Caenorhabditis elegans: one gene and its partner. The protein of the gene in region 1 interacts with the protein of each later gene in a pairwise test. Each region holds a gene or a part of one and is shown on either strand. Other genes may lie near its edges. The genes, in order: F56D2.2 and atp-3.

Evidence for each region.
Region 2: the proteins of F56D2.2 (region 1) and atp-3 interact in a two-hybrid assay, tested with the Caenorhabditis elegans proteins (2 studies listed by BioGRID).

Annotation. Positions count from the first base shown.
Region 1 is NC_003281.10:5,577,551-5,593,386, reverse strand, and holds F56D2.2 (RBR-type E3 ubiquitin transferase), read right to left. Parts: upstream 6,125-15,836; coding exon 5,996-6,124; intron 5,942-5,995; coding exon 5,663-5,941; intron 5,612-5,662; coding exon 5,459-5,611; intron 5,411-5,458; coding exon 5,297-5,410; intron 5,250-5,296; coding exon 5,158-5,249; intron 5,110-5,157; coding exon 5,011-5,109; intron 4,963-5,010; coding exon 4,578-4,962; intron 4,530-4,577; coding exon 4,326-4,529; 3' UTR 4,259-4,325; downstream 1-4,258. Other genes in the region: ucr-1 (Cytochrome b-c1 complex subunit 1, mitochondrial), read right to left, coding at 1-56, 106-348, 393-592, 642-858, 908-1,033, 1,176-1,229; Pre-mRNA-splicing factor ATP-dependent RNA helicase ddx-15, read left to right, coding at 1,681-1,736, 1,792-1,888, 1,936-3,523, 3,576-3,936, 3,991-4,108; F56D2.3 (DUF148 domain-containing protein), read right to left, coding at 6,602-6,782, 6,997-7,226, 7,274-7,478, 7,624-7,748, 8,203-8,325; uev-2 (UBC core domain-containing protein), read right to left, coding at 9,174-9,360, 9,501-9,651, 9,744-9,831, 9,873-9,992, 10,100-10,246; F56D2.8 (DUF4440 domain-containing protein), read left to right, coding at 10,976-11,153, 11,199-11,374, 11,452-11,499; F56D2.5 (RBR-type E3 ubiquitin transferase), read left to right, coding at 12,319-12,441, 12,808-13,086, 13,454-13,606, 13,651-13,764, 13,812-13,903, 13,949-14,047, 14,283-14,664, 14,716-14,787.
Region 2 is NC_003279.8:5,422,335-5,437,203, reverse strand, and holds atp-3 (Oligomycin sensitivity conferral protein), read left to right. Parts: upstream 1-7,384; 5' UTR 7,385-7,397; coding exon 7,398-7,457; intron 7,458-7,580; coding exon 7,581-7,893; intron 7,894-7,937; coding exon 7,938-8,035; intron 8,036-8,211; coding exon 8,212-8,427; downstream 8,428-14,869. Other genes in the region: F27C1.1 (Ovule protein), read right to left, coding at 1,452-1,651, 1,696-2,149, 2,195-2,350; F27C1.11 (Doublecortin domain-containing protein), read left to right, coding at 260-389, 430-530, 578-712, 755-841, 951-1,068, 1,259-1,392, 2,783-2,860, 2,904-2,971 and 1 more; Cuticle collagen dpy-5, read left to right, coding at 4,153-5,007; F27C1.2 (Copper transport protein), read right to left, coding at 6,049-6,161, 6,212-6,443, 6,499-6,626, 6,693-6,921, 6,969-7,037; F27C1.3 (Dauer Up-Regulated), read right to left, coding at 10,007-10,765, 10,811-10,840; F27C1.4 (uncharacterized protein), read right to left, coding at 13,999-14,418; utp-14 (Small-subunit processome), read left to right, coding at 8,764-8,915, 8,968-9,168, 9,214-9,313, 9,395-9,792, 9,844-9,961, 11,007-11,526, 11,586-11,842, 11,896-12,042.

The DNA of each region.
Region 1 (15,836 bases):
ATGAATTGATTGGCAATTTGAAGAGCGAGAGCATCTTTGTGGGCATATCCAACACCCTAAAAATGAAGTAAAATGAAAGACTGAACACACATTTATTATTTGTACCTCAACAGCGAAAGCAGCATACATGTGTGGGACATTATCGTTGCGGTATCTGTATTCAGATCCGGTGAATCGTGTTCCATCGACCTGTGGAACCTTTCGTGGGTATTCGTTGCTCAAGTCTCCGAAATATTTATCGGCGAGGCTTGAAACATTGGAAACTCCTCCTCCGACAGCGGACAGAACCATGCGCACTGGTCTGTAATGATCCTCTTGCCACTCCTTCAATTGTTGAGCAGAGATATTCTGAAAAAATAATCAACTTTATGTAAACCCAAATAAATACTTACTGGAATGCTCTCACTGGTTCCGAGAACGCTGAGAGCGAGTGGGGTGCCTTGGAATCCGGCAGCGTGGAGCATATCGAAGAGGACAAGCTGATGATAGTCATCGGAAGCTTCGAGCTCTTTGAGAAGATTAACTCTTTCGGTATCGATGGTTGAGGCCTCAAGCTTGCTGTTGCGGAGAACATCGGCGAGGATATCGACAACTGAAAATTTTGGAAAATTAACACAATTTTATAAGTTACAAATATTTACCTTTCTCAACATCTTGAGCTCCAGCTTGGACAAAAACTGCGGTTTGGTCACGCTCAGTGAACGAGTTGAGTTTTGCTCCGATAGCATTAAGCTCGGATTCGAGAGCAGCAGATGCTCTCTTTCCAGTTCCCTTGTGGATCAATCGCTCGAGGAAATGTGCGACACCGTTGTTCTTCTCGTTCTCAAAACGAGATCCGGTCTCGATCCAGACTCCCACCTACAATTTAAAACAAAAGAAATTTTAGAAAACTAGTGGGCAAAATTACGGTAGCGGTGGCGGATCCATTATCTTCGGTGACAACACGGAAGCCATTCTTCAAGGTGGTAACTTCAGCTTGTGGAGCGCTGGCAAGCACGTCCTTCACGGAGACAGCTGATGAAGCATTGCGAACCTGAAAATTAATTAATTTAATTAGATTTTCTACATTATCATCGTTGTTACGTTCTCCATGCGACCTGTGGGCATACAACTTTCAATTTTATTTTCAATTAAGAGTTTTTATTTCTCTTTTAGCAATCTCACAAGAAAATTACCTGGCTATTGAGAGCCGGACGCAAAGCAGAGCTGACGGCGAGTCTGAGAGCCATTCTCTCAAGTTTTCCCCTGTTCTCTGAAAATAAAAATATATAAATAGGATATTAATCGATAGATAAAAATTCAGAGAACATTATTTTAAATTGAAAAACTTGAAAAAATATATCTGAAACTCGAAAAGAAGCTGAAAACAACTAAAACCATCAAGCCGCCCAGCAGTGCAGAGACGCAGACAGCGGAATCGCTTCGAGACCCACCGAAAGTTTAAAGGCGCACCCGTAAATCGCTCCATACTTATTCCGAATATATTCTGCGAAATTCTGTCTTTTGTTCCCAATATCTCTATATTTGCTGATTTTCTCCTTTTTCAACTAGTTTTCTTAATTTGTCATACATTTAATCCATTTATCCTGCGCGTAGCTTTTCGAAATACCTAATATTTTCGTATAACGCTTTATAAAGCCACTTGAAACTCTAATTTTCCTATTGAAGGAGAAACTTGCGATGTCTTCGAGACACCGATTGGATTTAGATGGCAGCGGACGCGGAGACAGAAGAAGGTAAGTAAAATTGTTGCTTCCCCAGTTCAATATAATAATAATAATTTATTTTCAGATCTCCTAACCGCAGATCCCGATCCCGCTCCCGATCGCCACACAGACGCTCCTCCCCCGACCGGAAAAGACAGATTGGGGCAGTTGGAAATATGAAGGTATTTTTTAGTAAACGAATTTTTGTTTCTCATCTCCAAATTTACAGATCCAAATCAATCCATACAACAACCAGCCATTTAGTAACCGATATTGGGCAATTTGGGAGAAAAGAAGTCAATTGCCAGTATGGGAATATAAGGAAAAGTTTATGGAGCTGCTCCGGAACAACCAGTGCATCACTCTTGTCGGAGAAACGGGATCCGGAAAGACCACGCAAATCCCACAGTGGGCCGTCGAGTTCATGAAGCAGCAGCAACAAGGACAACCACCCGGTCAAGCGAGATTGGTGGCTTGCACACAGCCTAGACGGGTCGCTGCGATGAGCGTTGCGACAAGAGTTGCTGAGGAAATGGACGTAGTTTTGGGACAAGAAGTGGGATACAGTATTCGTTTCGAAGACTGCATCAGCGAACGAACTGTTCTCAAATACTGTACAGACGGTATGTTGCTGCGAGAAGCAATGAACAGCCCGCTCCTCGATAAGTACAAAGTCCTTATTCTCGACGAGGCTCACGAAAGAACACTCGCCACAGATATTCTTATGGGACTGATCAAGGAAATCGTGAGAAATCGAGCTGATATCAAGGTCGTAATCATGTCCGCTACATTGGATGCAGGAAAGTTTCAAAGATATTTCGAGGATTGCCCGTTGCTCAGTGTTCCCGGAAGAACATTCCCTGTTGAGATCTTCTTCACTCCAAATGCGGAGAAAGATTATCTAGAAGCCGCGATCAGAACTGTAATCCAAATTCATATGGTCGAGGAGGTTGAAGGTGACATTTTACTGTTCCTCACTGGTCAAGAAGAGATCGAAGAAGCTTGCAAAAGAATAGATCGTGAGATTCAAGCCTTGGGAGCAGATGCTGGAGCACTCAGCTGCATTCCGTTGTACTCTACACTTCCCCCAGCAGCACAGCAGAGAATCTTCGAACCAGCACCACCAAATCGACCGAATGGAGCAATCAGCAGAAAGTGTGTCATCTCTACAAATATCGCTGAGACATCATTGACTATTGATGGCGTTGTCTTTGTTATCGATCCTGGATTCTCGAAGCAAAAAGTGTACAATCCAAGAATTCGTGTCGAGTCGCTGCTTGTTTGTCCCATTTCGAAAGCTTCTGCTATGCAAAGAGCTGGACGCGCCGGAAGAACAAAGCCAGGAAAATGTTTCCGGCTTTACACCGAAACGGCTTACGGATCAGAAATGCAAGATCAAACATATCCTGAAATTCTTCGGTCGAATCTCGGATCTGTTGTGCTGCAGCTCAAGAAGCTCGGAACCGAAGATCTTGTGCACTTCGATTTCATGGATCCTCCCGCACCAGAGACATTGATGAGAGCGCTGGAACTGTTAAACTATCTTCAGGCGATCAACGACGATGGAGAGCTCACTGAACTAGGAAGTCTGATGGCTGAGTTCCCGCTTGATCCTCAGCTCGCAAAGATGCTTATCACATCCACTGAACTCAATTGCTCAAATGAAATTTTGTCGATCACAGCAATGCTCTCGGTTCCGCAGTGCTGGGTTCGTCCCAATGAAATGAGAACAGAAGCCGATGAGGCGAAGGCTCGGTTTGCACATATTGATGGAGATCATCTCACACTTCTCAATGTCTATCATTCGTTCAAGCAGAGTAAGTTGACTTTGTTTTTCTTTTTTTCAAATATTAGTTTCGCATATTTCAGATCAAGAAGATCCGCAGTGGTGTTACGATAACTTCATCAACTACAGAACTATGAAAACTGCCGACACAGTCCGCACACAATTGTCGCGTGTTATGGACAAGTACAATCTTCGACGTGTCTCAACAGACTTCAAATCTCGAGACTATTATCTCAACATCAGGAAAGCTCTTGTAGCTGGATTTTTCATGCAAGTCGCTCATCTGGAACGAAGTGGACACTACGTGACGGTGAAAGATAATCAGCTCGTCAACCTTCATCCATCCACAGTTCTCGATCATAAGCCGGAGTGGGCACTCTACAATGAGTTCGTGTTAACCACAAAGAACTTCATCAGAACTGTAACTGATGTGCGCCCTGAATGGTGAGTTAATTTGCAAATTATATTATTCAAAACCTAACTAGATATGCGTTTCAGGCTACTTCAAATCGCCCCTCAATACTATGATCTCGACAACTTCCCAGATGGAGACACGAAACGGAAGCTGACTACTGTGATGCAGACCCTGCAGAGAAACGCTGGCAGAGGCTATTGATGCCTCCGAATCATCTGATCTCATTTCCCCAAACCTCTTTTATCCCTATTGCCCCTTGTCAAATTTTTTGATTGTTTCTATTTATTTTTTGTTTATTTCTTACCCCTTTCTTTTAATTCTATTTTCACTTTTAAATCAATCACCAAATCTAAAAGGATGAACTATTCATTTTATTTGACAATTAATCCGTAAATTTAGAGAAAACCGTAAAGTTATGTTAATTAAAGAAAAGCTCGTCAAAATGTCCTTCTTGCTCTAACCAATCCTCCGCATCAATATCTTCGTCGGATTCAGGATACTCGACGGTCTCATCACTGTCATAGTCACTACCGTCGTTAAATGCCATATCGAAAAGAAGATCGTCATCGTTATCTAGCAAATCGTGATGAACTCCTTCGAACAGACGTCCAGAGCATGATCCCTGAAAATGAAAAATACATTTCTTACACAATTCTAAGAAAAAACCAACATCTCCCTGAAAATGCTTATAAGGATCTTCCTTGTCAAGAGTTTCAGAGCACAACCAACAGAAGTAGGTGTCACACTTCGTACAGTGCATCTTGTGGCATCCTTCATTCTTCTCTATGCTCACCGAGCACTTGGGACACGGTTTGCTGTTCGAATCCAGCCATTCCTCATTGAGGAACCGCTCCACAAGCTCCTCGACACGCTTCTCTCCTCCAAATTGCCTGCACATTTCAGCCTTCTCAGCTTCATCTCCATCCTTCCATCTTTTGACAAGAAGCTCTTTGTCTCCTTTCTTCCATTTGCAGCGTTCTATTCCGTGGAATGTCTGCTTACACAGATTGCAGAACGAAAAGTTACAGTAGGAGCATTCGGCCAGGAAGCGTTGTCTGAAATGTTCTTCTTTTTTACATTTATTTTTATATTTTAAACTATACCTATCCGTGACGTAGGCGACTTTTTGACAATTCTCTCTGGGACACTCCACGGTGTCTTCCATCTCTCGAATCGCCTTCTCCAGCATAATCGTCTCGTATCTGGCGGAAATTCAAATTTGGATTTTTTTTTTTGGAAATGTATCTCACTTTGCATATAAATCATCTCCGAGTGCCTCCTTAACCGTATTTTGTTGTGCTTCACTCTTGCATCCTTCTGCTAGACACTGCATGGCTTTTGACTGTAAATGATCCAATTTTTCCAAAAAAAAAATCGATTGGATCTTACCACAACACCTTTCGATATTGTACGATAATAATCGAAAGTACATTGTTTGCAGAAAACGTGAGAGCACGGCTGGAATTTGATGCAATGTTGGCCCATTTGAGAGTCGTAGCATACCTGGAAGATTGAAAAAATAGTATAATTTTATAACTACGAAAAAATTACTTCACAATCGAAAAGTGTATTGACAAAGTGCTCTTCAGCAGCTTCTTCGCCTTTTCCAAGAATTTTCTTTTTCAGCGATTCAATAGTTTCTCCATTGTTTTTCAGCGCACACGCCTCGTTCAGATTGATGATTTTTAGGTGAGATTGGTCTATCTGAAACTTATTTTTATATATTTAATTTGTTAAAAAGAACAAAAAACTAACCGAATCAATTATCGTTTGATAGCACATAAAAAGCACCTCCATCATCTGGTTTTCCTCGCAAATCCTTGCCAACTCGGTTTCACAAGATGTCATTTGTTCCTGATTCATCCAATAACTTTCCAGTTCAAGTTTTGGTGATGATACTGAGGGATAATCATTTGGAAGATGAAATTTCAATCGGATTGGTGGAAGAATGTCTAGGGGGATGGAAAAATGATCGCTGGAGTCAGACGTTCCTTCAATTGTGACTTTTGGATCGGATAATGTGTCAAATCCTACCTGAAATCAAGAAAAAATTTAATAATAAACTTCTTTATACGCTCAATATTCTACTTCAATTATTCCCCGAATTTCTGCATTTTTATCCGCCCAATCACTGATTCTCGTCAATTTATTCTCCCTTAGCACACTCTCCAGTGCTTCTAGCTCGAATAACTGAGTTTCACGGCTGTCGTCTGACATCTGAAATTTAGTAGAAATTATTTTAACACAAACTAGAACAAGAAAAACTGGTATCGCGTTCAAAATGTTTAGAAATCTAGACTTTTTTAAAAGGGCAAAAAAACCGCTGAAAAAACATGCACCAAACGCGCTCCATCTGACAGAAACAAAGCGTGGATGTTCAAATTCCACTTTTTATTGGAAAGATACGAGTTTTCTAATATATTAGCGCAGAAAATCCCATATATTTATTATTTAAATAACACTGATAAACAATTGATATGCTGAGATTGATAACAACGATTTTGAATGGATTAAGGTTATATTTACAGAAGGCGAACTGAGCAGGTGAGCAAACGCCGAGCTGAAATCACTTGTATATACAGTCAGATAGCTCGTCGTTTCTGGGGATGGAGCACAAGGGAAAGACGTTGGGCAGTTGAGAAAATTAGACGTAAAATACACAAAAAGAAGAATTGCTCATAGAGCACAGATTATTTAAATTTCCACAGTTTTTCCATCTTCGGAAACTCGGATTTGACGAGCTTCAACCACTGCTTGAGTTGGTGCATTACGAGTCATTACTTCAACTTGAGAAGCCATTGATGGGTTTGCCCGATTAAGAGCCTCGGTTTGTCCTGGAGCTGGGAATGGAGCTTGAATTGGGGCAGGTGTTGATCTGAAAGATTTGAGATTTTTCGAAGAGAGCAATAGAGGAGAAACACAAAAATCGACTAAGCATCAATCAATTTTGATATGATTGAATTCTCCGAGAGTGTTACACGGATTGGAATCTTTTTAGGAATACCATGTAACGCCTGCTTCCTGCCTCCCATGCAACCTGCGCCTGCCTACATGCGCGTCTTGCCTACCATGAAAAACTCAATGCTCACCCCGAATCGTTCATAGCATTGAGCTCATTCTTAACGTTCTCTGGAGCCTTAAGCATAAGTTTGTCAAGTTTCTCCTGCTTCTTCTCTACACTCATTTTCTTGTTTTCCATAATTTTCTTGGCCTCTTTCTCAAGCTTCTTCGCCTGTTTGCTAAGCTCTGGAACTGGAGAGGAGACGGTCATCTTGTTGTTTTTCATGATCAGTCTTTTGTGAATATCAGCGAATTTGGACTGAAAAATGTTTGTGTTTGTTGAGAAAAAATTATTTATCTTCTTACCCTTATCTCATCACTCTCATTTGCTAGAACTCTTCGAATATGCATTTGCTTCTGCTCCATATTCATTCTCTGCTCTCCAATAATTTTCTTGATCCGATCCATGGTTTCGCGTTGGTTTTGACGCCAAAATCCCGGTTTGGCCCGTTCCATAGCTCGCTCGCGGTCAGTTTTCTCCATGGGCTCACCGAAGTTGGCTTCTCCAATTCTGAAGGAAAATCAAGATTATTTGTTGCTAAGGTACCGTCTAAAGTGAGTTTTGAATAGATTATCGTTGTAATCTGGCGCTACGGTCAGTTTTTTACTAAGTGGCCGCGAGGAGATAAAACTTGGCCACCTATTCCGGAACTTACCTTGCTCTCATATAACCAAATGGCCCAAAGTCAAATGGATGCTCCCGATGAAAATATCCTTGTGGTGGATTCATGTTGAAAGATGGTCGCCGACGTGGCTCTTGTGTTGGGATTGTTGGAAAACCCTGGAAAATGAATGTTCAGAATTTTCAATAAGGCTTGGTAGGCAGACTCGTTTTCATGAAAGCTTGCCTATTATTTTTTGGTTTTTTTTCTTGCTGGACTCTGGTGTTTGGTGTTGTTTTCATGAAATCTTCAGTCCTTGGTACCTACGTGCCTGTCTACACGCCTACTTTCAATGTGCACAATCTTGATACAAGCGTAGGTGAATGAAGGCAAGCAAGCAGGCGTTTGTGTTCTGATCTAGTTTCAATTAGAAAAATCTACACAACATACCGAAATGGTTGTGACCTTGTAATAATTAACCTTGGGATTTTCGCTACGTGGCCGCGGAAAGCAAAAAACTCGGCCACCGATTTTTTGGCTGACTTGTTGCAAAACAACTCAAAAACTATATTTTAGATGTGAAATCTCTGCCGAAACTGCCACTTAAAAATCCTACAAGCCAAGAAAACTCACATAATAAGCATTAACATAGTCTGGCATGGCAGCTCCCTCATTAGCATCTCCGTATAAAGTTCTCTTGTAGTAAAAGCCGTTGACAACCGCCGAAAATAGAGAAATCAAAAGAATACGTTTCATTTCCAACAACCGACTAGTACAAAAAAAGGAGTCAACTGTGCACGGTCGAGTGGAGTGGACAATGGTCAGCGAGGGGGATCGGGAGGCTCCGAGAGCACACTGTTTGGGAGTAAATAGAGACCTTTGACGGGAGGCGAGGAGGGGCGGTACCACACGATCTAGGCGCGCTCTCGGTGAACCGATAAACCTATACCGTTTCCGGCTTTTTACGTTTAAAACTTTTGGGTTAGAGCTCTCTCCGCGAGGCGATGAGCACACCATGAACAGTGCAGATATCTGACAAGGTGTGCGGGAGAAGTAAATATAGACATTGGGGATGAGGTAATGACGTGCAATCACGAGTATCACCTCTTTTTGAAGGGCATTGCGGTTCATTGCAACGTGGCCGAGAACAAGAAATCGGTGGCCGAGTTTTTTAAATCCTTAGTAGACTGGAGCTTAGTCAAGCATACCTCCCTGCCTACAAATGTTGACTACGTAGATTTATTCTTGTTCTGCCATTTCATTAAGAGATAATGGGAGGACACCCCGACTCAACGAGTTTGGAATAGCTTTATTTGGTACAATAATCACTTTTTTCGTAAAAAGACATGGTTTTGGAAAGAGAATGAAAAATTGGTGTGATCGGGAAAGTAGGGAAAATGGGAAAAATTATCACATAGGTCAGGTAAGTTTGCTGCAAAAAAGGGGCATTGGGATTTAAATAAATGTGTATAGAAAATTGGCACCTTTTTGGAGAAAAATCTGAAAAATTCCATAGAGTGTCGGCAAGAAAGTTTTGAGAAAGTGGAAAAGGTCTTCAACAGAAAACGTTGGCCAATACCAAAAATATAAAAATTTGTGTAATATTAGTTTTCGATGTCAATTGGTAGATCGTCATCATCCTCGTCCGATTCCATGGCACCATTTTGCACTGCCAACTTAGCCTTTGCTGTCTCCCTCTGAATTCCGGAATTCTCGGATACTTCCATGTATCCCACGGCGTTCGGGTTAACTGTCCAAGCATAAGCTCGAGCTTTAGCCTCGTAATTTTCACTGGAACAAGATAATTTTAAAAGTTAAGTGTTCTCTTTTCTCTGTTCAACGACGCTTAGCTCCAAATCGAAGTGGCCTAGAAGAATAGGTGGCCGAGTTTGTTCACATTTGCAGCTGTGCGCCGTTAAAATATATCTAACCGCTGATTCTCATATTCCATCCAGGCTTCAATATTTGCAGCTTGAGTAAGATCGGGCGTTGCAAGTAGATTGCTGATTTCCCTCAGAAGTTTCTTGAGTGAAGTTTCAGAAGACCAGTGCTCTTGTTCCAGCATTTTAAGATAAATTGATCCTGTAAAGATTTTTGTAATAATGCGTTTCTTTTTGCTACCGTTTTCTGTATTTCACACTCAAACATATTTTTTCGAAACAGTTCTAACCAACCTCTGAGGTCCACGTTCGGATGATGAAGCGGCGTTTTGAATTCACAAATTGGCGGAATTATAGGCCATTTGTGAAAGTTCACGGAAACCTGGAGATAATATACTTTTGCGAACTAAAAAGTAATTAAACCTCATATTCCCCTCCCTCCCAGGGGCTTCCTCTCGGTCCAGGTACTGTACATATCCAAGAACACCATATGTCTGCGCCCTCAAAACTAATTGGCTTTGCCGTATACCCTTGCGGTGTTCTCTGAAAAAAAGTTATTTCGACACATGCCACGCCCACTTTTGAAGTAGGCATAAATCAGGCCTAGGTCCCAGGTAGGCAGGCGAGTTAAACTTTGTGTGAAAGCTTACCTCATCCCACTTGGCTTTCTCCTCCTTCACAGTGTTGATTTCATTGGTGAATTCGCGTGAATTGGTTTCAACGTCGAATAATAGCGCATCGGCAGTTTCGCGAAAATATGAGAGATCAACATATTGTCTGTTGCTACGTCTTCGCATGTTTCTGAAAGCTTAAGCTCTAATCTGGAAAGTCAAAGTAATCCAATTCGTGACGAAGCTTCCGGAGCCGCGTTAACTGAACCTAAGCTGGATCTTATTTGAAAAAGCTACAGTGAATATATTCTTAAAGCGCACAAAACGTTGCATATTATCCCACGAGGCCTAAGGCAACCAGAAGCTTCAAACAAAAAGTGAAGAAGAGAGTATGAATACGTGGGATAATATCACAAGTTGAAGAAGAGGCAGGTACGAGAGAAAAAGAGCTACATAATCACACAGAAGCGGATGCCGTCTCTCTATCATTAGTACGTTGTCCTAGAGATGGCCTCTTTCTCTCTCGCGCCCTCTGTTTTAGAATTGAGCATGTAACAAAAACTACACGTGCTCTCAGATTATGTATGTGTGTGTGTGTGTGTGAGCTACTTGATTCCGACGGGTTGGAGGATTAAAGGTATATCTGATGTTGGGCACACTTTTAAACGTGGAATGACGCAACTCCTCTGCCACACACTGCACACGCTTTTTCATTCAGCTAAAATTTATCATGACGAGACCGGATACCGTACGCGGCAGAACCCATGTGGTGTCTTCAAAATGCCCAAAATGATCATGATCATCAATACGACACCAAACATCAACCTCCGCATTGATTGACAATTTTCACATTCTAATTGAATTAGCATTTCGAACTATAAAAATGCTCAGTTCGCCATGTAGCCAAACCAAAATATGCGTCTTCCAATTTTTCTTCTAGCTCTTTCAAGTGCTTCTATTGTCTTTTCATTGGATCCAGTCCCCGAAGAATATGCCAACGTACCGAAGGAGTTCTTCGAAAAGTTCCAGGCAGCTATCAAATCAGGGGACCCAGTTGCAGTAGTGGATCTTTTTGCTCCGGATGATATGCTTCGTAAGTACGATATCAGAAACAATTTTGAAATTTAGTTATTTTCAGCTGTCAGTGGCATGATTGAAGCGGCACAGGGAATCATCAAATCTTTTGAATCTTATCCGACCGGAATAATTGAACGAGTTCGCTACGAGTATGGAGTCATTCAGATTAATGTCAGATATTACCCCAACACGCCCCTTTTGTCCAAAAAAACGACTATTTTCAAGATAAAATACGAGGTAATCAGGGAGTTGGACTAAAATTTTATCCAGCCGCAATCACCAGAATAGATTTGTAGATAAATTTTAATTTGCAGAACAAATGGAAAGGCTGGACAATGGTGCACTTCAGTGATTGGATGTAGTTTCATATTCGAATATCGGGACTTGTATGACCTAAATAAATGTTTTAAATATATTTAAAAATGTTTCGAAAACTTTTCAGAAATCAAATTGGCTGTTACATTTTACCTATCCACCAAAAATTGACAGAATGATACACGGCCTATTGAAGAAATGGTAACAAATCCGTACAAAGTTTTCAGATATTCACAAAACGCAGTAAACGAGAAGAGTCGACTTTCTGGAAGTTTTCCCTTTTCACATGATTTTAATATTCTTTCATTTTTGAACATTGTGTTTTTCTATTCTGTTGGAATAGCTTTAGTTTTTTATGAATCGATAGATTTTATCAATTCCTGAAGAATAAGGTACATGGATAGATACATTTTTCAAAAATTTTAGTGAAAGGTTTGGCAAATTGAAAAATTGAACTTTTGGGGGCAATTTCAAGCATTGCTGCAAATTTGAACTCTTCGATTGTTTAAATACAAACAATTGAAACGCAATTAAAGTACACATCACGTAGAGAAAAACACAATTTAAGTTGAACAATTTCTCACTGATAATACTCTAAATTTAAAGTTTCAAATTGTATTTCTCATCGTTTCCACAACAGGTTATCTATCACATTGCGCAATTTTACTCATTACAATTTTGCAATATTTCGCAATATTTTAGTAATTAATTTTGATTTTTGTTCCGCAAACTTTCCTCATATATTGTTTGAACATTTTTGACTAATAATGTAAAATATTTTCTATAAATTCCTGAACATTCATTTCTAAATTACCTAAACTCCGTCTATTGAATCTCTGCGTCTCTTGTCTAAAAATCGATAAAAAATGACTGATCGTGACCTGCAAATATATGAATTGGAAGCATTGGAAAGTGTTCTAAGAGAGAAGAAACTGGCGAAATCCAGTGATTGGAGTGATAAGAATGCTGAAATCCAGGGAATTATTGAGGTAAAGATTTTGGTTTTTTGAGAGAAGCTGGGGTATTTTAACTTTTAAAAAAGTAATTTAATGTCCACTAAATAACAACAAAAAATTATTTATCTGAAACTACCCTTACTATATTTTAGCTACACTTTCTACGTAATTATGTAAGTTATCAAAAATATTTAAGGTAACAAAGTATAGAAAATTTCAATAGCCTCCATAATCATTAGCCCGAAATTTTGGCCACGGTTGACTATTTTCCTGTACGAGATAAACTAATATGGCCATATATGGAGTAAAGTATTTTTTAGAAGAGTCACTAAGTTACGGTTGAAAGTTGGTTAGTTGGTTTTTTTAAATGAGTTTTAGAATAGTCAAGTGCAATTTCAGGTCGGATTTGACAACTTATACGATCCAACAGTCACAATTGAAGGAACATCTGACTCCGGCGATCAATTTCATCTTCCTCTTGACATTCTTCCTCCAATTCGACTAAAATTCCATCTTCCAAATGATTATCCCACCGTATCATCACCAAAACTTGAACTGGAAAGTTATTGGATGAATCAGGAACAAATGACATCTTGTGAAACCGAGTTGGCAAAGATTTGCGAGGAAAACCAGATGATGGAGGTGCTTTTTATGTGCTACCAGACAATAATTGATTTGGTGAGTAGCGAGAATCAAATAAAAAGCACCATTATGAGCCGACATCTCAGACACGTAAGGTGTCCTCTGCTAAATTTAACTGCAGCCGACATTTTGCTGGTTCGTTATTGAATGACATAGATGGGCTACCCGCGATATGTCGTCTGCAAAGCGTTCTGAGATGTAACGGTCTACACAGATAGTAGAAATTACATATTCATTAGAAGTAGGATGTTGATTAGAAGACCGACATCTCACGGGTATGCCTTTGAGCGAATTTAAATCTAGATATCTCATGCAGAATTTAACTTTTTTAATTCTGCGGAATGTCGACTGCTACGTTCTTTGATTCAAGCAGCTGGCGTCTTTTTCAACTATCAAATTTCAGATGGCCCAGAACACTCCGAAAATTATAAATTTGAACGAGGCATGTGCACTGAACAGACAAGGAGAGACTATCGAATCTCTGAAAATGAAAATACTACAGAAAGAAGAGGAAGCTGTTGAAGAACAGTTTGTTAATACCCTCTACGATTGCCAAGTAACGTTTGTATTTTTTTTCTAATTTTTCATCAAAATTTCCAGGTATGCTTCGAATCCCAAATGGGACAGCACTGCATAAAGTTCCAGCCATGTTCTCATGTTTTCTGCAAATCCTGCACTTTCAACTATTATATTTCTATTGCCAAGGGGTTTGTGGTTAGTTTGAATTTTCTTAGCTGATATATTTTTATTGGATTTTTCAGTCGAAACCAATGTCATGTCTAGCAGAAGGATGTGAAAATGAAGCCCAACAGGGTATGGTGCAAGAGGCTCTAGGAGAGGAGCTGTTTGCAAAGTAAGATTCCTAGGAGATTGACAAGTATTTGATTAATTTTTAAAGGTATGAAGCTCATATGCTAGAAAAAGCAATTCGAGAAATGGATGATTCAATGGAATGTCCAAATGAAAATTGCCAAATGGTGGCTTATCTAACTGACAGGTAAAATTTAGAAAAATGTGTTGTGTTGCTATTAGACTATCAGAACTCGTGAATTTTTCTTGAACTTTGTGTCTGGAGCTCTGTGATTGTCGGTTTGAAATTTGAGTGTTGAAATTTGTTGAGCCCGCTGGATTTCTCGTATAAAATCTTTGGGTGCCCATAATTCTGCTCACAATGACTCTCAAAGACTTGATTTTTTTGAGCGTATGATAAGTTCACAAAAACATTTTTTCAGCCAACGCAACCTTGTTGAATGCTCCTATTGCAATTATTCTTTCTGCAATTTGTGCAAAGGAACGTTCCATGGAGTCTCAAGGTGTAAATTTAGAAAAGAAGACGAGGAGAGAATAATGAAAGAATGGAATGAAGCAGATGAAGCAGGAAAAGAAGAAATGTATAAACGGTATGGAGAGAAGAACATGAAGGCTCTGGAGGAACGATTCCTTAATCGTGGATGGCTGGAGGAGAACAGCAAGCAGTGTCCGAAATGTTTAGTGTACATTGAGAAGGACGAAGGATGCAATAAGATGCATTGTACAAAATGTAATGCCTCGTTCTGTTGGTTGTGCTCTAAAACTCTGAATAATGTGGATCCATACAGTCATTACTCGGAGAAGGTACTAAAATATTAGTATTAGTAAAACTTCTTAAACATAATTGCATTTCAGGGATCTTGCAACGGACGTTTATTTCAAGGTACTTGGGTAGATGAAGAAGTGGATGAGTTTGACTGGGAATAAAAATGGGTCTCATCACGGTTTTAAGTAATTCATATCTTTAGTTGTTATTATTTTTCGTTTGAATATGTTTTGTTATATTATACATAATGTATCGCAATGATAATTCGAATTTTTTGTAAATAATAAGTTATAATTTTCCTATTCGCAATTAACAATTTCACAAAATGAATGATTGAAGGAAAGTTTCGAGGTTTCATTTTAAAAAAAGGAAGCTAGAAAAGAAGAAATGTATAAACGGTATGGAGAAAAGAACATGATGATGAGTACAATTCAAATTTAATTTTTAAAAATATTGGTATTAATTTTCGGAATGACAAACATCGCTGTTGTCCAACTCGACAAAAATAAGAAGATTTCATATTTTTGTTCGAAGGATGGTAATTTGAGTCTGGGTACAGCAAACACATCTGAAAGAGTCGGGAATAAAAGAAAATGTGATGTGGATAACTGTGGTGGGCGTCTAATAAAAAAGGGAACATCGGAGGCAACAGGGTAAATTTGTCTTTTAACTATATATAATGCCTTCTAACTTAATTCTAGAGTGCCAAAAGTCAAGGAATCGTGTGAGTCGATGCAACAAAATGAAGGATTAAGCGTTCCTAATCTGTTGATAAATCTGGAAACTATGCTCAAAGCTATCGATTCAAACGCTTTCAATGATACGCTGAAAACAATTGATTGAGATCAAGAATCAGGTGTGTAATTATCGCATTAACAAGGGAAGTGAAAAAACGGGTCCCCGGACTTTGGCATGCCATAGTAATTTTTCGATAAAAGAGTGAAAATAATGATCTCTCCAAAAAATTTGTAAGGTTTAAAATAAATTTCACTCATTTTTTCAGATCCGTCCAGAAGAGCTTGACAGCTTTGCTATGCGCTCATTCTTGTTTGGGCCTGGACAGAAATCAATGAAGAATTAAAGCATATGAAAGCCGAGGTATTTATTTAGTTTTAGATCAAATTTTGATTTCGACTATTTACAGTGCATCCTGAACAGTGATATCAAGAGTCTTGTGCAGTGCATCCTTTTTCTGGTCTCTAAATGAAAT
Region 2 (14,869 bases), on another chromosome or scaffold:
AAATAGATTTCGAAAAAAAAATCCGATTCACCCATTTCAGCCTTTAAAAAATTCTATGGGTTTTGAAAATAATTTTTCTAAAAATTAAATTTGAACGTGCACTGAATTTTTCAAAACTTTGCCAAAAACATTGGCAGTTTATCAAAACTTTGACCTGAAAAATACGACAAACCTAAAAATTTAGAGTGTTAAAAAATATTTTTTTAAAGATTTTTTGATAATTCAATTGTTCAGCTTAATATCCTTATCGTTTTTTCAGCTTTTTATCGAGGAAATAGTCCAAAAATCCGGTGATCATTACCCTTACGTATGTACATACATAAAATCCACAATCGATGTTGAGGAGAATTTGAGCCGAGGCCCATTTATGAAACAGATAAAGCCAAGTAGTGAGTTTAATTTTTAGAGGTTATCGCAACTGATGTACAGAACACTCAGGCGCCAGTTCAATTTCGACAGCGAAAAAGTTGAAGAAAGGCGAGAAGAAGGTAGTACAGGAGACAGTGAATTGGCAGTTAACTATGAGTTTGGTAAGTTAAAAGCTGCGGGAGCAAGTTTGCAAAATTCAAAATTTCAGGAAAAATCTGCCAATCATCATCATCCAATAATTCCAACAGTTGTACTGGTGACCAGAGATCGACAAATTTTTGAAATGGAATGTGAAATGGAAACCCCAGAGCCTCGAGGTTCAATGATGTTTTTAAGATATACGGTATATTTTTTTCTAAAAATTAAAACACTGACCAACTTTCAGTTAACTACTACAAACTTTGGAAATCCGTTTAAAGTTCGATTATCAAGTGAGGAAGATGGTCCAGATGTAGAAACCCATGTTCATAAGGTTAGCATTTTTTATTACACAATTCAGGTTTATTCATTTGATTACTATACTAGTGGTTTTGAACAAATTTTGCCCACTGGCTAATTTACATTAAACTATGAATTTCTAGATGATGCTCAACGAGCTGGAGTCGAAAACTTGCGTGTTTTTCAAAGTTTCATGGGAACTGCAAGCATTTGAAACGATTGAGCAGGAGTGCACATATCCAGATGTTGGAGATAATGGAAGTACGTTCACATACCATTAGGGGGCAAGATAAATTCATTGGAAAAATTGTATTTCTTCAAAACACCAAAGCAAATGGAAAATAAAACATTTTCAAATTTTAATTCTGAACTTCACTTTAAACTTTATGTAGTTTTTTTTGCAAAAAGTGAATTATAGCCGAAGATTTTACACGGTATCTTTTATTTATAGGCCGCGATTATGAAGTACACATTCGAACCTTGGAAGGCGGCGGAAACTTCCGACCGTACATTAATATAATCGGAGACAACGGAGATACCGGACACAGACCATATGCAGGAGTAATTGATTTTAATCCAGAAAATGTAAGTTCAAATGAAAAACACAAAGAAGAATATACAAAGTATTTATTTATTTGATAAGATCAATCTCTGTGCTTTTTGCGAAGATCAGCCAGCTTCTTGTTAAGATTCTGAAGTTCACTGAAACTGTCAATAATCTTTTTCTGCTTCTTGATAACTGATCTTTGCAATTGAACTCTCTGAAGAAGATGAAGCGCCGGCACTTGAGCACTCATTGTTGTGGAAAGAGTAGAAAGAAAAGATGAAGTTGTGTCCGACATTTCTGAAAGAATGGTTCATTCGAGATAGTCATTAAAAGGTTCTTACCATCATCGGCCATTTCATCCGTCTTCTGTTCAGAATTCTCATAGACTGTTAAAACATGAGCCGATGGGAAATTAGAACTCCAAACAGTGGTTTTGTCATCATCTTGCTCGGAGAGTTGTTCATCAGACTTTTCAAAATTAAGCGATGTGACACCAGACAGGGTGTCATCATCCCACGTTCCAAAAGTTGAAAATGGGACAGAAAACAGTCCCTCAACATTTTCGAATAGTGATGGGAGCTTTTCCTCTTCAGACTTTGAAGCAACAATCTTCCAAAATTCCATCATCAATTGAGTAGTCTCGTTGATCTTACGGGATTCGATTGTTGTTGGAACGGGTGAGACAGGCATTTGAACTGAGCAATTGAAGCATAGCAAAGGACAGCTTGCACACTTCATGACTTCTTTTGGAATAGACACATCAACTGGGCATGATTGAACTTGACGATCATTTCCCTGAGAAACAAAGCTTTCTGTTAGCCCGGAAAAATCAAAAGTTACCGATTCGATGTTATTCTGATAGTCACTCAATTGATGATCAATCGGAAGTTTATCAGTCTCAATCTCATTCATTTTCTCCATTTCCTGCTCCATTTGCAGTTCGACCATCTTGAGAAATTGTCCAAAAGCCGTGTAGACAGTGATCTTCTTGACCATTTTGTTAGTAGAGTTAGCTTGTTAGTGAGGACGAGTAATGTCGTAATGAAAGAAATCAGAGATTTCTCCTTGTTATATAGTGTCCTTTATCTTGATGTACTAGAAAAGTTAACCTTTCGAGTTACGTGCAAATTGTTTTGATTAAAGTTAAAACTATAAGTTCTTGATGTCACGTCTAAATCGCAAAAATATTCCGAATTTTTTTCGTCAGCTTTCAGTGAAATTCTCGAAAAAAAAAGAATTTTTCAAGATTTTCTGTTCTTTTTTATATGGTGTTAATGATGGAACTTTTGGAAACAGCAGAAAACATTTTTTAACTTTTTAAAAGTGAAAGAAAAAATGTATTTTAAAATTTAATGATTTAATGAGTTTTTCAGCACGAAGATAATAAGTTAAGTTTATTTTGCTGCCGCAAATAATCTTAATTTTCAGGCAATGATAATGGAAAGTATTGGAGCTATCAATCTGAAAGAGTTGCGGAACATAGAAGTATGGGCCAAAATTGGAGAGGTAATATTTATAAAATTAACTCGTGACATATTTAAACTTTCAGCCCATGAATTGGAAGGGAAATATTACAATAGTTACATCGGATGAAAAGATTTATGAGTCAGAAGATTTGTAAGTTGCATTCCATTTTCTTTTAGACACCACCTGAATGTTTTATTTCAGAGAATTATCGAAAAACGGGCAAATCGCATTATCCCCATTGATATTTGTTGGAGTGAATGAGCCGGTTATTGATGGTGAAAGTTACATTTAGATATTATCTGGTTATCTACCTTTTTGTCTAGTCTAATATTGTTTTCATTTTTTGTTGTTGAACAAATATTTATTTCAAATCAATATCCTTGTTACTTATTTGTGCTTCGTCTTCTTTTTTACCACACACGGTTCAATATCACTTAAAGTCTTTCGGAATTCAATATTAATGAATGATTTATGAGTTTTCTATTGAAAATCTTTATTGTTGGTGCTTAACGTTTTTAGGTAATTAAAAATTTGTAAATCTACTTGGTGAAAATAGGCAATGGCTGTTATATAGGCAGGTATGCCTTTGAAAATGTCTACCTACCATGGAATTGAATTGAACATTTTTCGAAGGCCATTGTTTCAATTGTTGTGTTTTTACATATAAAAATTAAAACAATTTCCACGTAAGGAAAAAAAAGAACCTTTCAATAACTATCTAGGTAAAATCATTCTTTCAGAAAGGATGGCACAACTTCATCTCCTTCATCTTTGCCCACTTATTCCACAACTTCATCTTTTTCCACAATAAGTGCTCATGTGCCGGTGAATCGTCTTCATCAGAGAGTTCACTTGCAAAGATCAGTTATCAAGAAGCAGAGAAAAATTATTGAAAATTTCAGTGACCTTCTGAATCTCAACAAGAAGCTGACTGATCTTCGAAAAAAGCACAGAGATTGATCTTGTCATATAAATTACAATAAATCTTTGTGTTTTTCATTTAAGCTTACATTTTCTGGATTAATCACGTTCTGTTTATAATATAAGTTAAAGTTATAATATATTCTTAAATGGTTTTTAATCCCTATCCTTGAGAATAGAATGAAGGTGTGTCCTCATGGGGCGAGGCAATTTTATCCAGTTCTTTGGCAAGTTTTCTCCGTTTCATCTCTTATCTGTTCTTTCGATTTACCTGATCAGAGGAGGCATATAAAAGGAGACGAGATGAATGTGGAACACTATACTTTTCAAATTAGAAGCTTTTCCTTTTTCTTTTGAACTTGCTAACTTTATCTTTAAAACTTTTCTCAAAGTCTCTGTGTTTTCAGAAAATGGTAAAGGCCGTCGTCGGATTCGGCGCTGCATGCGGAATCTCTGCTATCGTTGCTTGCCTTTGGGCTGCACTTGTCATCACAAATGACATCAATGACATGTATGATGATGTGATGGGAGAGCTCGGAGGATTCAGAGATATCTCTGATGACACTTGGGGAACCCTTCTCGACGTTCGTCACGGAGCCGGAGAGTCTGCTGAGCAATACGTTCGTGGAATCTTCGGACGTCACAAGCGTTCCAACAGCCAATGCTCTTGCGGACTTCCATCTCAAGGATGCCCAGCCGGAGCTCCAGGAAACCCAGGAGCCCCAGGAGAGCCAGGAGGCACTGGACCAGACGGAAAGAACGGACCAACTGGACTTCCAGGACTTAACATTCCAATTCCAAATGACTTCCCTAAGGAGTGCATCAAGTGCCCAGCTGGACCACCAGGACAAGATGGACTTCCAGGACAAGAAGGATTCCAAGGACTTCCAGGAGACGCTGGAAAGCGTGGAACCCCAGGAAAGGACGGAGAGCCAGGACGTGTTGGAGATATTGGAGATCAAGGAACTCCAGGACAAGACGGACAACCAGGACTTGCTGGACCACCAGGACGCGATGGACTTACCGGAAAGGGACAACCAGGAGTCGCTGGACGCCCAGGAATGCCAGGACCACGTGGAGAGCCAGGAAACAACGGAAATCCAGGAGAGGAAGGACAAACTGGAGCCCAGGGACCAACTGGACAGCCAGGAAAGGACGGATTCAACGGAAACGACGGAACTCCAGGACAAGCTGGACCACAAGGAGCCGTTGGAGCCGATGCCGAATACTGCCCATGCCCAGAGAGAAAGCGCAGACGCGTCTAAACTGTTTTCGTATTCAAAAATAAATATTTATGTATTCAATTGAAGTTTATCACATTTTTTGAATAATTCTTTTTGAAAATACGATGGCAGGTCTCGACGCGACTGAAAGACGTAAGGGAGTTCGCGCCTTTAATGTATTTCTAACGCTCCGCCCCTGAAGATTAGGTCTCTTTAGGTATTAGGAGAACATGTTCTATTATTTTTATGCTTCATGAATTGATGCAAAAACAACTGAAAAAATTTACTTTTAAAAGAAAAAATGTTTGAAAATCGGCGAAAAAAATAGAAAACGTTTGAGTTTACAGTTTCGCCGCCTATATATATATATAGGGCCCCTATAGGGCGCGCGCCTAATACCTAACGAGACCCATGCTTCGGAGGCGGAGTGTGTACATTGGTTTTTTCTGCGTCCCTATAATAATTTTTCGAAATTGTTTTCTAATACTAAGTGAAAATAAATGGAAATTCGAAGTAAGAAGAAAACAATTTATGAAAATTGCACGTTTTGAGATTTCAAAAATGATTACGATTTATTTTTCGAAATTCGAAATTTTATAACAAAACTTCAATATCAAATATAGCTTTTCAATCGCGACAAGACCTGATTCCGCTTCTTCAAACTATTTAGATGATCTTTTGTAAGGCTTATCACGTTGTTATTTAATACTTCCGATTGACTATTTGCATAACTTCTCACGAGGTGCAGTATCTTATCAGCTACAAGATTCAATCTTATGATAGAACAATAACAGGACAAATGTTCATTATCATTTACAACTTCAATAGGGCAAATAGAAATTCAATAATAAATAAATAAAATCAGAAAATTGACAGCTTGCTCTGAATTAGACACTTCTTCTGACTGAGATTCTGGTGATAAAAAGAGGCGGGATCCTAAGGTGCTCATCGACCCGCAGGAGAGAAACTAAGGTCGATTAGTGAGGAAATACATTTTAAAAGATAAATCAACTAATAAAGAGGAAAGATGAATTGATGATGTTTGGTGATTTGTTTGAGGATTGAGATTGGAGATCGCAATTATTAATGACACGCATCGGTTTGGAACGAATCCGTCACTTCTCCATCACAATTTCGGAGTTGGAGAACTGCAAACAGCCAATGTCCAAATCCTGCTCCTAATACCACCGCAGCAGCTGAAAAAATACACAGAATTATTGATTTAAAACTAGAAATTTGTACTTACTTAGATAAGTGTTGTAAGTCATCACAATGAGCATGAGCCAATAGGCGAGCACCAATTGAAAAATGTACAAGAGCATCTGAATGAGCCGTTGAGGAGAGAATGGCGAAGTTGCAGGGGTCCTCGCTACCGAAGCCGATATCAGGAACGGTTCAGATTGAGGCTTGTTGCTCTGTGAGTGGGTAACCGATTGATGGCAAGTGCCTCCAGAAGACCGCGTTGTCTGAAGTGCAAACTAGGTCGGATAAGATATTTTTTAATGAAACATAGAGAAATATAAAATTACTTACCTCCACGCATGATTTGTTGGCAAGAACCTGAGCTTGTGTTTGCGTCATTTGCAGAAATACACGGAACCACTTGACACCTTCATATGTGGCGCCCATAATGAAAATAGCAGCACACGATAAAAGCATACCTGAAGAGTTGTTAAAATTAACTAACAGTTAAGAAATAAACTTGAATTGAATAATGAAAATCTTACCGAAAAGTGAATCCGTCCTCCAAAAATCGAATAGAATAACTTCTTCAAATCCTCCATGGAACCACATTTTCATCATATGTCCCTCGTGTCCACCATGACCTGCGTGTGATCCATGAGACGAATGTTCATGATGTTCATTTTGATCTTTTTCATCGGGCACAGGAACCGCTTCTACTTCTTTTCCAGCGAGCTCATCGAGAAAGTTGTCTGCAGCTTGTGCGTAAGCACTCTGAAATGCTAAATGTTAGATTTTTGAAGCAACTATTAAAATTAAACCTTATTTTCTGCAGCAGCAACCACCAAAGCCACAGCCAACCATCCTAGGATGGCCAATTGTGTACCCATGATCTGAAAATATATGACGTAACATGAAAATCAATAAAAATTGCGTTTAATATGACTAGAAGTTATACAAGATAACAATTTCAACTGCAGCTTCAACATTTTGCGACCTTTTATACGCAACCTGTCATGAACATGCATTTTATCGAGATGGAAAGTTTGCAAACAAGAAAACTCCACAAAAAAAATTGTCTAAAAATTGCAGCACCAAATGCGCTCTACTGAACTGACAGCCGGTGATTTGGCTGCGTACCTTGGCTTATGGTTAAGAGAGTGATACTCAGCCAACGACCGCCCTTTTTCTCTTGAAATTAGCTTTCAGTTCTTTTTTATCGAATTTCAGTTAAGTTTTTGTACTATTTTATGCGAATTTTTATCCCAAGCAAGCCTCTTTACCTATATTTGACTATTCTTCACGAAAAAGTATGTAAAAATCCACTCTTTATTATTTTTTTCTTAATTAAATTTAAAAAGTTGTTTTAATTAATTCGTTTGCTTGCATACATTTATTAAATTTAAATTTTGCCTAATTTCTTAATTTTGCAGGTAATGGCGCAACTCATGAAACGCGGATTCTCCACGAGCGCTGCTCTCGCTAAGGCTCAGCTGGTGAAGACCCCGATTCAGGTTCATGGAGTCGAGGGACGTTACGCCGCCGCTCTTTACTCAGCCGGACACAAACAGAACAAGCTCGACCAGATTTCCACAGATCTGAACAATGTTCGCTCCGTGTACAAGGACAACAAGAAGTTCCAAGAGTTCGTCCTCGACCCAACTCTCAAGGCCAACAAGAAGAAGACCGCCATCGAGGCTATCTCAACTAAATTGGGGCTTACCAAAGAGACTGGAAACTTCCTTGGTATTTTGTTAACGTGTAATTACAAATTTAATTGTAACTTTCAGGACTTTTGGCTGAGAACGGACGTCTGAACAAGCTCGAGTCAGTTGTTTCTTCATTCGAATCCATCATGCGCGCTCACCGTGGAGAACTTTTCGTTCAGGTACTTTTATTATAACTGCCAAGAAAAACAATGTTTCTTTTGAAATTTGTTTTCGTAAAATTATAAAATATGAATAGCGAATGTTTTCAATACGTAGAAATGGAAATTTTCAAGTCTAAATTTTAATCCTGAAGATGCTCGTACGTACCGTTTTAAAAACTAAAAATCATTTTCAGGTCACCTCCGCCGAAGAATTGAGCTCATCAAACCAGAAGGCATTGTCTGATGCCCTTAGCAAGATCGGAAAGTCTGGACAAAAGCTCACGGTGACTTATGCCGTCAAGCCATCGATTCTTGGAGGACTTGTTGTCACTATCGGAGACAAGTACGTCGATCTGTCGATCGCTTCCCGTGTCAAGAAATACAAGGATGCCCTTGCCACCGCCATCTAAATTTTTCCCAAAAAATTTAGTTCCTCATCCCGATTTTCAATCTGTGCTTCAAACCAGTTCCCTGCCTCATCATACCCAATCATTGAAGATGGTGTTTTAAAGAGTTGTTTAGTAATCGGTTTTATGTATTGTCTTCATTTTCTAGTGGGTCATAACATCAGCAGTGTAATTGTTTGTTCCAGAATTTTAAGTTTCTTTATTGTACTCTCAACAAATAAATAAATAGATCTGTGAAAAATTTCAATTATATTGACCTCGTTCTGTCGGTTACCATTTACTTCTTAATAATGTTTTGAAAGAAAACAGAATAAAATTATAGAAATTTGAGAAACAGAAATGAGTGATGACTCGGATCTTGATGACGTTGCTCATCAGAAGCTTCTGCAATCAATTCACACACCTGGAACTGTAAAGAAAAATCGTCTGAAGAAAGCATCAAAAACAAAAACCGACGCAACTTCTCTTCTATCTCATCTTACAGTTTCAAGGTATTTGAAAAACAAATTTTTTTTTAAATTTAGGATTTTTGCAATTTTACAGACCTTCAACCAACAAAGCCAAGCAAAGTCTCGGAATTGGTGGCCTAGAGTCGACAGAAAAAACAGGAAAGAAGCGAAAATCGGAAGCAACAGCAGATGAAACAACTACGAAAAAGAAGCTGAAAAGCAAAACATTAATTCCTCTAAAAGATGTTGAAGCTCGAAAGGAGATTGAAGGAAAAATTGCGTTCACTGATTTGAAGTGAGATTATTGATTTGTGATTTAATTAATAAGATATTTTTACAGAAAAGAAGTGACACAAAATTGGACAGAGCTCGTTCAAAGCAACCGCGTCAGTGATCAATTGATCTTCCCTCTCACAAAACCGGATGGAATTATGTGGGGTGTAAGTTGTTGCTTCCAAATTAAACTGTTCTAAAATTTAATAAAAGTGGAAAAATTGCTCCTAATAATTATTTTCGTTCAGGACGAGAAAACCGAGCCCGTACTGACCGAAAAGGAGATGGAATTGATGAAGGCTACAGATATTAAAATGGCAAAAGATCGTCTTTCACAAATGCAACGAATGCGTGCTATTGTTGGAATCCAAGAGGCCAAGAATCGATATATGAAGAAAATCAAATCGAAAGGATATCATCGAATTCTAAAAAGAGAAAAACGAAAACAACTTTTAAAAGAGTTTGATGATTTGGTTGCTCGTGATCCATCCGCTGCTCATGAAAAACTTGCCGAAATGGATTTACAGCGAATCATGGAAAGAGGAAGTTTGAAGCATCGCGGACAGAATCAGAAATTCAAACAGATGCTGGAAAAACATGCTAGCCGAAATCCAGAGGTCAAAAAATTGCTCGATGAGCATTTGAGGTTAGATATTAATTTTGGAACAAAAATTTTAAAATGGGAATATTTTTTCAGAATGGGAAGAGAATTAAAAGCAAAAGTCGCAACTACCGCTGAAGATTCTGATGGTGAAGCTCCAACTTCAACGGAAGATCCACAAAATAAAAAGAAGAGTATTCATGAGTTAATCAAGGTAAGTGAGACATAAACTACTAATTCATTAGACGGATTCAAGTTCTCAATAAGCTTTCTTCTTATCTGCACCGAAAACATCTTGATTGAGACCAGCCAGGGTTTGGTAGTTCGGGTCATGAGTTGCAGCCTTAGCACCATGTTGAGCAGGAGCTTTTGGTGGAGCTGGTGCACCATTTCCTCCTCCTCCACCTCCACCAACACCACCTTTTTGATCGAACACGTTGTTATTCAAACCAGCAAGAGTCTGATAGTTTGGATCGTGTGTTGCAGCCATTCCAGGTTTACCTCCTGCTGCTGGAGCCTGTGGTCCTGCTCCACCACCACCTTTCTTATCGAAAACATTATCATTCAAGCCGGCAAGAGTTTGATAGTTAGGATCATGAGTTCCGGCCATTCCTGGTTTTCCGTCCGGAGCTTTTGGAGCAGCTCCACCACCACCACCGCCTTGTTTTTGCTCAAAAACGTTATCGTTCAATCCGGCCAATGTCTGGTAGTTGGGATCATGGGTGTCAGCAATTGCAGCACGATTTTTCGGAGGCTTTGGAGCTCCGGCAGGAATCTTTCCCTTTTCCTTGGCTGCTGCTTTTTTCTTTTTTGCCGCAATCGCATCGTTTTTCTTCTTTTTACGACGCTTTTCATCATCCTCATCATCGTCATCATCATCACCTCCAGTAGTTCCTCCAGTTGTTCCTGTTTCATCTGAGTATTTTTTCTTTCCTTTCGACTTCTTCCCGCAGTTCACCAGAATAGCTGCCGGAACTGTCCAACACAGAGCAAGTTGCAGAAGTATCATAAAAATTGGCTGAAATTTTTATATTTTTTGGATTTTTTAGTTTTCAAACAATACCTGTAAACCAAATAACTCCATGCTCATCATTTGTGATATAGTTATCGATATATCCACAACTGTAGTTTGAGATCGAAGAAATAAAAATAAAAGAGTTATCAAGTAGAGGATTTTGAAAAATGATGATTTATTCTTCACGTAGTAACATTCTATTTTTTAAAATTTTATATTTAAAATTAATTTTAAAAAATTTCAGGATGCCGCCCAAGAAGCGGAGAAAGAATCCAGAAAACAAGTTGGCACGGCTCTAGTTGATACTTTCCTCGAAGACTCCGATGCTCAAAAAGTGACACTTGCTCAGATGCGAGCCAAGAAACGACAAGAAGCTGCTATAACTCGAAGTATTTCAGCGAATACTGGTGCATCACGTGAAAATCCTCTATTCGACGTCGATGACACTTGGCAAGAGAAAGAAGATGCGAAAAAGGCAAAGCAGAAGAAAAAGAAGCTACTAAAAGCGAAGGAGTCAGCGAGAAAAGGAACAATTGGAAAAGTATCATATGTTGATAAGAATTATGATCCGAAGATGGAGGCTAAACGTGCAGAAACTTTTGATGAAAAAGTGGAAAAGGCAGTGGATTCAGCTGGAGTGCATGCCGCTGAAAAACGACAAAAGGAAATTGAAATCGATCCGAGCAAATTTCTAGAGCTCAACACAAACGACTTGACACAAGTTTCGTCGGATTTTGTTGAGAAAATGGATCAGTTTGATGAAGGTAAGCTTAATCTTTTTTTTTCTTTTTATTAACTATATTCCAACGATTTTTTCCTGCAGAAGCCGCTCAAGTTATCAATGAAGCTTTCAAGGATGATGACGTCATTGGAGATTTTGAAGATATGAAAGAAGGAGTGAAAGAAAAGGAAAAAGTTAAAGATGTAGATCTCAATTTGGCCGGATGGGGCTCATGGGTTGGACCAGGAATGACTGAGAAGAAGCGACGCCAAAACTTTGTGATTAAAGCAAAAGAGAAGAGAAGAAGGGACGGAGAGAGAAACGGAGTAATTATTGCTGAAAATATGACGGCTAAGGATGTAAGCACCTGATATATCTCCTAGATTTTTTAATTGCAAAAATGAGCTTTCAGGGTATCGGAAAGATCCAGCCACGTTCTCTACCATTCCCCTACTCCCGAGTTGAAGACTATGAGGCTGTGCTAAAACAACCGTTGGGTCTTGAATGGAATATGGAGAAGATGCGAGATGAGTTGTGCAAACCTGCGGTTGTTGTTGAGGTAAGCTTTATTATATTTTACAGTTTTATTGAACATGAAAATTATGTTGAAACAAAGAGAAGGAGAAGAGAACCGTGAACAGTGGAAAAAAACGAGTGAAAACAAGGAAAGAAAGGCATTGGACTGGGAGTGTGTGATGGGTTGGACCTGAATTGTTTCAAACAAAAAAAAAGTTGATAAAACAACAGATGAAGTGGTTATAAGTAGGGAAAACATGAATAATTTAAAAATAATTAGTTTTGATCATCCGAACTAGACGAAGATCTTGCGAAGTCAATGACATGGCAACGATTCCTCCAAATCAACGAAAACGTTTTCTTCCGTGGTGATTCCTCGAGCGTACTCGTACATTATGACATACAAAGCATGATCATCGAGCATATCGTAGTCTTCCTTCTCGTCCAGTTGTTCCTTGGAAGATGCTTCCACCTCTGCAGGCTCTAAAGTCTCTAGCTTCTCTGGTACAGCTGGTTCTTCTTGTTGTGGAACCTCTACGAGTTCGACTGGAGTAGTGTCTTCAGTAACCGCGTTGACAAGTGTTCCGACGGTTTCAGCTGCAGATGTGACCATTTCTGATACGGAATTCCAGATGGAGGTTGCATAGGAGAAGTAAGACATTTTGAGAACTTGTGGTTCTGAAAATGAAATAAGTTTTAGTCATTTTAGATAAGGAAAATATGAATAGAAGGGCTGAGGAAACAAACACGCAATTTCATAATCTATTGTGCCAAAAAAGGGATAGTTACGAAATCGAGGTAATATGGAAATCAAACTACATAGAAGAAATTAAGAACATAGAGCCTAGGTAAAAAAAACGACGGACGACTGAACACCCAACGTATGGCAGGCTGCCAAATAGGCGTGACTGTGCACAAAAACGCTCGATCTGATGTAACAGTATACACCTTTGTAATCAATAACTTTCTGGCGGCTAACGAGACCATTTGATTATTATTCCAACATAGTAGAGGAAGAGAAGAGACAATATAGAGTCCCAGAATATGGATCAATATAATAGGTTTTTGAGAGTTGGTCTTTTTAAATTTGGTTTAGAAATAAGTTTCGATAAGTTTTTAAAGAATACAATTTTTAAAATCTTCATATTATTTAAAAATGTAAATCGAAAATAATGAAAGAAGAAACTGTATATATTAGAGAATCGAGTAGTAGTAGTGTTTAGAGAATTAGAGATAAAAAAATACAGTACCCCTATGAGACTCAGTGCAACCTTGCATATGCTCCCCTAAAATCATATGCAACTATTTGGTTTTTTTTAAAATCAAATTGCACAATATTTCGAATTTTCAGCCGAAAGAAAAATTCAAAAATTCTTGCAACTTTTGTTCACAATAAATTTTTTCAAAACTGATTTTGATATAATTTCGGAATAGGGACCACTTTTTACATTTGAGACAGCTCTTTTCGATTTTAAAATATTTAGAAAGGTGTATAATGTCACAAAATATAAGCGAACATCTATCATCTGTGCATATATATGCACTGGCACGGGAGACAGGAACCGAACGGCACATGTGACGAGTTCATTTTGATGTCACAAGCTTTTCCCTTTTTCGTTAAAAAAAAAGTAGACTATAAAAACAAACAAACACTGTTCTAACAAGAAAATATGCAAAAATGAACACGCAAACTGGCGAATGTTGTTCGAGTTGTAATAGGTTGCGAAATTAACCGATAAGAAGCTCGATATTCTGTTATTAATAGATTTTTTACATTAAGTATTGCCCATGATTTCTAACACCTCAAATCCCTGTTGTCTTTGAAATTTCTTGTCTGAAGTAGTTTTTATTGCCAAGGACATTGTAGAATTGATCACGTACGAAAGTTTATTGTGAAACATTGTGAAAACCGGTAAATATTACCGAAAACATGACATAAATTGGACAGTAATATTAAAATAGACCCGAACATGTATAGGATTTCTTCGTTCATCCCAGATCATTTGGAATTCTTCATCCACTCGTAGTTGTTTTGCACCATCTCAAATTGATTGTGCCTGATTGGACCCGTCTCGTCTGGATTCTCATGGATCACTTCCCATTCGATCGATGTATTTGGTGACGATGCTCCTATCGCCTCCTGGTGAACATCCTCTGTCGTCTCCTTTTTATCCTCTTGAAGATCAGACGACGCCGCCGCCGCCCCTTGTTGCTCCCATGAGAAGACTTCAGAAGAAGCCGTGGCATCCTCTGAGCCAGATCCCCACTCGAGAGCAGTCTGACTGATTTGTGTTAGAGCCTGTGTTGCTCCTTCGGCAAGTGCAGAAGCTCCTCCAACAAGGTTCGCTGCCTGTTCTGTGACTGCTGGGACGACGGTTGTGGACATGAAGGTGTAGAGTCCATTGACGATGGAGTTCATTGTTTAGTTGTAGTTTTCTGAAAAAAAATAATATATACAAAGAGACAAGTTAGACCGGCAACGGAAGGAAAAAAGAATGAAAGTGAAAGTTCGAACGGAGTAGGATTTACAACAGGATTGACTTCATAAAAATTTAAATCAAGTGCATGTATTTTATCCTAGTGTACTATCTGCCTAGATTTTTTGAATCTAGGTGTAATATTTACGGAAAAAAAAGAAAATGAAGAGACAAAGTAGATATATCTCCGATGTGCTCTTTCTACCACCAGAATGCGAATGGCAACTAATGACTAGTAACAGAATAAGAAAGACGAGAAGATGAAGAGGAACGCTGTGTTGTCCTTACGTTCTTCCTATGTCTCTTTCTCTTTTCTCGTATCGGACAATCCCTCCCCTTAGATGTGTGCGCGCGCGCTGCTTCTCTCTCTCTATTCACGTTTATGAGAGAACG